Caenorhabditis elegans: one gene and its partner. The protein of the gene in region 1 purifies or fractionates together with the protein of each later gene. This does not show direct contact. Each region holds a gene or a part of one and is shown in the gene's direction. Other genes may lie near its edges.

The links. The genes of interacting proteins can lie anywhere in the genome.
Region 2: the proteins of F02D8.1 (region 1) and T14B4.3 fractionate together in Caenorhabditis elegans (co-fractionation; one large-scale study listed by BioGRID). This does not show direct contact.

The regions. Positions count from the first base shown.
Region 1 is NC_003283.11:14,976,486-14,980,241, reverse strand, and holds the start of F02D8.1 (uncharacterized protein), read left to right. Parts: upstream 1-1,611; 5' UTR 1,612-1,654; coding exon of another isoform or gene 1,655-1,735; exon of another isoform or gene 1,736-1,737; intron 1,738-3,451; exon of another isoform or gene 3,452-3,473; intron 3,474-3,756. Other genes in the region: grd-12 (Ground-like domain-containing protein), read right to left, coding at 259-411, 457-576, 799-1,212, 1,522-1,611, 1,655-1,735.
Region 2 is NC_003280.10:6,732,865-6,736,620, forward strand, and holds T14B4.3 (VWFA domain-containing protein), read left to right. Parts: upstream 1-2,072; 5' UTR 2,073-2,085; coding exon 2,086-2,122; intron 2,123-2,163; coding exon 2,164-2,295; intron 2,296-2,342; coding exon 2,343-2,965; intron 2,966-3,012; coding exon 3,013-3,111; 3' UTR 3,112-3,246; downstream 3,247-3,756. Other genes in the region: T14B4.9 (Core-2/I-Branching enzyme), read right to left, coding at 15-165, 212-318, 366-675, 734-919; mrps-18.C (28S ribosomal protein S18c, mitochondrial), read left to right, coding at 3,340-3,555, 3,607-3,699, 3,747-3,756.

The DNA.
Region 1 (3,756 bases):
TTTCCTTTTATATACAAGTGAGCATAGAACAATATGAAAAAAAGAAATATATAATTATTAATTCAAAGTATAAAGTTAAAATAATAAAAAGCTGAAAAAAAATAAAAGATGAAAAAGAATTGGCTGGAGAATAAATTCAAGATCAATTTTGGAGATGGAAATTTGGAAATTTTTGGAAATATTTAAAAAAGATTTCAACAATTATAAATAGGCTACTTCGAAATAATTAAAAACAAGAATTAATTCAAATAAATATTCCTAGAACCAAATGTTCTCTTCATGTCCATCATGCACTCCAATTTCATCATACTTAGCCGGATACATTTGAGTTCTCAACTCGTCATCGTTCATTGGACGAGTCACTCCGGTATCTAGAGAATATGGAACTGCTGAGCCATATATCACAACAATCTGAAATTTAGATTTTGATTCGATAAGTAGATATGTGAATAATACCTTTCCGTCTCGACTCCGCTTTTTGCAATAAAGGTCTCCGCGGTAATTTGAAAGATTTTGTACTTCTCCACTGGCAACGATTGCTTCCATTGAATGATTGAACATTTGTTGCGTTTCGTGCTGAAAACATTTAGATTTTTTTATGTAGAGCACTTGACAACTGTTTCAAAAGAAACGGCTAAAAAATTAAGTTTTTTGAAAACACTTCAATTTATCCTGTTTCAAATGATCTAAACTTATACCTAGTCCCCTCAATTCGCAGTTCAATCTCCGAACCTTGAGAACGACCCCACCCAACTTCTCTCCTAATATGCAAATCAATAAAATGACCCTGAACCAAACCTGAAGCTGTGTTGCAAATCGTTGCAGATTACATCTCTGCCATTCTGGCTTCAACATCTCTCCAACTTTCTGTTCTAAAAATTGATCCAACTGTCGATTGCAACATTTGTATCCCTGAGTGTTTTGGAAACATTTTGGTGGTGGAATTGTAGTAGTTGTAGTTGGTGGTGGGGTTATATATACAGGTGGAGGTGTGACATAAACCGGTGGAGGTCTAACGTAAGCTGGAGGGGTTGGATATGGAACCATTGCATATTGGGGAGCAACTGCGTATTTTGGCATAGCATATGAGTTCATTGGAATTGAGTATTGAGGAGCAAATGGGTAGGCGTTTGAAGGAGCCGCATAGTTTGCTGGAGCAGTTGCATATGAATTTGCAGGCGGTGTTGGAGGAGGCAAACCGTAGTTGAATCGCTGAAAAGTTTTAGGCTTTACAAATTTAGATTTGCCAAGGCCATTCTAAGATTCAACAAAAAATTGGTTGAGTTATCAGCCAAATGAATTCCCACTCTAATACTCTGAAAATCAGTCACCATATCAATTTCTATTTCTGAATTATTTTTTCTTCGAATTTTCTTCAAGTTTCTCACAATGCTCATTGGACTGAAAGTAGGAGGCGTGAGAGTTTGCCAGGAGCTTTATCACCAGCTCATTTTCTATTCTTATCAGAAAAATGTCTACTCATTAGTTTTTGCACCTTCCAAATCTTTATCGTCAGATTACCTGTTGCGGAGGATTATAATTCCGAGATTGATAATACCCAGAGTAAGCTGGCGGACATTGATTTTGGCAACCACCAGCACCACCACCGAGCTGAAATAATTTTGTTCTAAATTGAATATCCATGAAAACGCACCATTGAGAGGAACCAGCAATCCGCTAACCGGAAGGTGAGTAATACTGATAGGATTACTGTAAGTTTCGGCCTGTGTAACATTTCTGAAAATTATTGAAATGAGAAGAAAATTAGAGTAAAAAGTAGAGAGAAGTGGTGTAGAAAATAGAGAGAAATTGAAACTTCAAAAACGAGGAAATGGTTATTGACAGCCTGTAGATTTCTTACTAAAAAAAGCCAACCTTGTGAATTAAGTTTTAAAATATTTCTGCAAAATCCAAATTCCGACTTTTGAAAGTTAAAAAAACGGTACTAATTTTATTAAAACCCTAAAGAGCGTTGCACGGCAACAAACAGAAATTCAGTTGATTGGTGGAAAGCTAAAAATTTCATTGTTTAAATCAGATTTTCAGAGGTAAACTTCCATATTTCCACTAGTCTTTTACTAGGCTCTTGGAAACTCTAGTCTCTTGAAATTTACTGACGGGGAAGTTTTTAGTTTTCCAGTAGCATATTTTTCAAGCCAAATGCTCAGTTGGAAGTTGGGCTCTAGGAAGTAGACCTACCTAGCTGTAAATTGAAATAACTACAACAAGTGCAGCATAATGGAGGTTTTTACATTTATTAGCTCATAAACTTCAATTTGACAAACTGACTCTTGTTTTTTATTTGAGTTTATTTTAGAAAAATTTCAACGCAAAAGTAATTATCTAAACTTAATTCACATTCTATTAACTGCAAGTTCCTAGTATTTTCAAAAACAAAACAAACAATAAAAAAACAAAAAAATCAAGAGATAAATAGGTTCAAGGAGATTGAAATCCGAAACCGTAGCCTATAACAGTCCAAACGTCCATATAAGCCGCGCTAGCTTTGGTCACAAATCTCGAACAAAAGGGCGGAAACACCGTGCTTTTTGTGTTCACAAAAAGCGCATCAAACGGCTAACAAATCAATTAGAATCGACACATGGGAAACGCAGTTTTCCCTCCCAGGAATCTCGAGATATAAACACACTGTTTTGGCATGTGAGAAGGGGAAGGTAAAGCCGAAAAACATTGAGGAAAAGAAAAGAAGAAGAAGGAAATGCATACATAATCACAGTCCGTTTGGATGAGAAAACAAATCTGTGAAAGTGAGAATTCCGGAGAGGGAACAGAATTGAGGGGTAGTCTTTGAAAACTGAGAATCTAGCCAAAACTGTAAAGCCCTTGTGAGAAAAATAGTTAATTATAGGTGTGAACTGCTAGGCTAGAATTCTTCAATTTTTCCAAATACTAATCTTTAAAGCGACTAGAAGAACTGGAAAATGCCTTCAAAGTACTTTAGTTTAATACAAAACCCTGAAAGTAGATGCCAAAGTTTTTAAGTCAACAACACAATTGAAAACTAGATGTGTGGAACATTCTAGACGGTTATATCCACAGAGTGGATTCCCCATATACTTGTAATAAACCGCACTTAGATGCATGAGAGACCCCGTGTAATTTGTTAATTGGATGAATATTTGCCGCAAATGGCATTTCTTGTTAAGAAAACAGTGAAAATGATTGTTTTCCACAGCGGCCAGACACTTGTACTATTGCCAAGGTTGTATTTGATTTTTCGGATTATCTTGATCTTCGATTAGATTTTTTTAGTATTTTGAAGCAGCTGACGCCATTCCAAAAATCTGGCGTGGCAGAAATCAAAAGTTTAGTTGGAAGACAAAATCAGATGAAATTAAGAGATTACCTGTAAACTAGACACTAGGAACTGAAGAAGAAGTTTAGAAAAAAGGGGACTAGATCTAAACTTAGACCTAATTCTAGGCGAAGGTGTCATGGAAGGCGCCCCTTTCTCCCAGCTTTTCTTTTTTACAGTGTGGTATCGTTCAAGCTTGGCAGCTCATAACTGGGGGGGGGGGGGGGGTATATTTAAAGTTATTCGAAACTGGAAAATTTAAAACGTAGCCAAGCAACTCTCTGAGTTTGTCGCGCAAGCGTTATAAGTCTACCTGTATGCCTACAAGCACCCATGAACACTCAGCCTGGGAGGCGGCCTATGCCTATTTTGGAATGATTTTTATCCAGACATCTTCTGAGGTTACGAGCGCGCAAGACATGGGTTGAAGTCTACCTACG
Region 2 (3,756 bases), on another chromosome or scaffold:
CCTGTAAAACAAACCATCTCGAAATAATCTCAACGTTTTCAAATCCCACTTCAAACTTTCATCTATTCTCCCGAATTCCTTGTCAATATCAATATCGTTGGCACCATCAAGAATCTCAAATATTCTAGATATTTCATAAACTGATTTTCCAACGACGTCATGATTCTAAAAACATTGCATTTTTACAATTATTAATAAAAGTTTTCCCCACTTGCATCAGTATAAAATAATCCCAATCCGGTAATTTTACCATCTTCTCCATGCATTTGTAGTGTGCTAAATTCATATTATGACCCGCTGAATCTATTCGAAGTTCTTCTGAAACTCTAGTTAATTTAAATTATACATATATTCAATCAGTATACCATCTATTACAAATACATTTGGAAGACATCTACCAAGTCTCCTAATTCTCCATTTAAAATCATCTTTGCTTTTTGAATCAATGAAAAAGCAAAATATATTCTGTGGATGATATGACATTTGTACTTGTTTCTCCAAAAATTCATAGTCTTTATAGACAACTCGTGCAAATACAACACCAATTTTCAACGGCCTCAAATGAAAATTGAATGGAATAATTCGATTTTGAATTGAATAACATGACATATCTAAACTCTCCAAATTTGAGCTCAGGGGTATTCGATGCTCACCAATAAACTTTTCGATATAAGACTGAAATTTTATGTTTTTGGGTTATTTTTTAAACATTTAAATATTTAAAATTACTAACTCTATCATTTGCCAAAATTCTTCCACAATCCAAATGAGCTGTCTCTTTGCGTCTCCATAATATATTAGTTTCCTTTGAAGTCCAAAAACTCATTGTTATTCTAGGTGCCATTGAAAAGATCACAATTGTACAAACAAGCATTGTGAGTAATAAGAAGAAGAAGGTCCTGGAGTATTTGGAGCACATTTTGGAGAAAACGGAAAAGAATGGATGACAGATGGAAATGAAAAGAGAAAGAATGAAGAACCAGAGCAGACATTGGAAAGAATCCAAACATTTCATTCATTTCAAAACATTTACATCCACTTGGGTCTCACACTTTCTTTTTTTGATCTTCAAAAGTTGAGGGTTCTTGAGGGTTATAAATTAGTATTCAAATATTTATTTTTGTTTGTTAAAATTGTTTTTTTTTGTTGTTTGATCGAGAAAAGTACAGTCATATTTACAGATGGTAATTTGTTTAAATGGATACCTTCGCATTGCAGAAAACAAACTAAACAATTACCGTTTTTGAATTCTGGAAAAAATAAAAAATTGCTCTCATTTTCCTATTTGTGAAGGCATTATTCCTTGTTTAAAGTTACATTTTTCATAAATCTATTTGTAATATTTAGAATCGAGGAAATAGTTTTGAATCTTCTCATCTTTTATCTATCTATCAAATTGGTAGTTACCAGTAAATCGAATAGCCTTGAACTATAAAACTGGTAATTCTTAATAAGGAAACTAAAAGGTATTCATCCTTATATTTATCTAAGATTTTACTTCCCTCCGTTTAATTCAATTTTTTTCAAAAAGTCACCTTTTCAATAGCCGCATCAATTGTGCAATAGGTTCAACAGACAATATAGTTTGATTGGATAACAATTTGTACCGGAACAAACTGAGAAGATAACCCTATCATATTGGATTGACCCACCCTTTTTATCAACAAGCAAGTGAAGGAAATTTATTGCATGTTCGTTTTGAAGGAAAATATTCATTGCTACAAGTTATTTTTATCACAATCAGTGAATAAAATTAAAAAAAGATATGTATTAATTTTTTAAGCAAAAATATACTTCAAAATTCAATTTCATTATCATTTCTGCGCGCGGAACCAAAAAATTTGACAGTTTTCTTCAAAACCCAATAAATATCTGCCTTTAATATTTTTGTATACATAGATGAAAACTTTATCAATAAAAGTTTTGGCAAAAAAATACAGTAACCAATGCTGATGAAATCAACTTCCACGGAGTTTCAAGTTCTCTTGGTTTGTGGTGTCTCAACGAGAAAAGCAAACGCGCTCCATTGTTACAGAAAAATTGTGAGTTTTTTATTTCTCATTTTTGCTTCTTTTCAAGCCAAAAATGCGAAGTTTTATATGGATTTTATCATTTTTACAAGGTAATTTCTTATTTATTTTTTGCAAAAAACTTCAATTTCAGTTTGCCTTGCCGGGCGTCTTCAAATCATTTTGCCAAACGACCACATACTTGATTCGAGAAATTCGTCTTTCGATTCAGTTTCATTATTAAATTTCAACAAGAATGCTTTTGGACTTGGTGCTGCAGTTGGAGGTAGGTAACATTTTATTAATATAAAATGTTTTATTGCCTTATTTCAGCTCATCAGGCGATCGGCGATGAAAAATTGTTCCAAAAACCGAAGGCGTTGTTGATAATCGTTATTGACGGACTGGAAAACTTTGATTATGACGGACATGCTTTCAATTTTACGGATAAATTCCAGCCAAATCAAATTCAAGAACATTTCAAACAACAGTTTGGTGATGATATGATTCACGCCGAAGTAAACTCCTCTGGAATATTTGGATCATCGTTGTTTAAAAGAAATACTGAGGGAAACCATGCTAATTACGATACTTATAAGGAGGATCTTCAAAATATGTATCGACTTTCGGATGCAATCATGGAGAAAGATCGAAAAAATGCCAATGTTGTTGACTACTACCGTGTTCACCTTGACGTCTCCAATGCGCGAACAGATATGGAAAGAAAACAATTGGCAGAAAATATCAAGCGAGGTATTGATACATTACAAGATGCTATCAAGAACAGTTATGGCGGGAATGTGGTGGCTGAAATCTATACTCACGAGAAGCCTGATAGAGATGAGAAGGCTAGAATTAAGCTGTTACAAAAAGTATTGCAAGTGACTCAAGCTAGATATATCGATTATCCGGCAAGTGCGGCCATTATGATGTTTGTGGGATTCTCCCTTGTCTTCGTAAGTCCCATGTTAATTCATTCTTTCTAATAAAAAATTAACTTCAGGCGGCAGTTGCGATGTTGTGGTTGATGTTTGATGAAAGTGATATGGCCAAGAAAACGATCCTGGTTCGACTATCGATGGGTAGACAGAAGAAAGATTAGAATTAGATTTATAAATGATTGTAAAAACTGTATTTTCATAATTTATTTCGCTTTACGGCTTTACGGTTCTTTTTTTTGCATTTTTGACTAATCGCTTTCCGGTATTTGTTGCCATGTCATAAAGACTTCAGCTTTATGCATTTGAAACACTATCAGTGTATCAGGTTCTAAACCTTAAGATATCTCATTTTTAAATTTATCAATGCAATCCAACAGTATCAATTCAGAATGCTAAAATCGGCGTCATCGTTGGTGCGAAGTTTCATAAGGCCGCAGACATTCAGGTTATGTAGCTCCAGTTCAACCACGCAGGGATCTCCTTCGGTTAGCTCTGACGATGAGCCCGTAATTTTGGAGAATAATCCATACACAAAAGAGCCACGGAAGTGCCTCTTGTGCTCAACTGGTGTTGAACTCGATTACAAAAATTCGAGACTTTTGCAGGTACGAAATGTTTTAAACTGGAGCTCGGTAAAATCCAATTCTTTTTTTCAGCAATTTGTTTCCACATTCTCTGGGCGTGTATACGATCGTCACATCACTGGACTTTGCGACGAGAACAAGAAGAAGCTGATTGAAGCAATCGCGGTATGATGAACTGGAATAGAGTTAGATAAACGATATTCTTTATTCAGAAATCGCGTC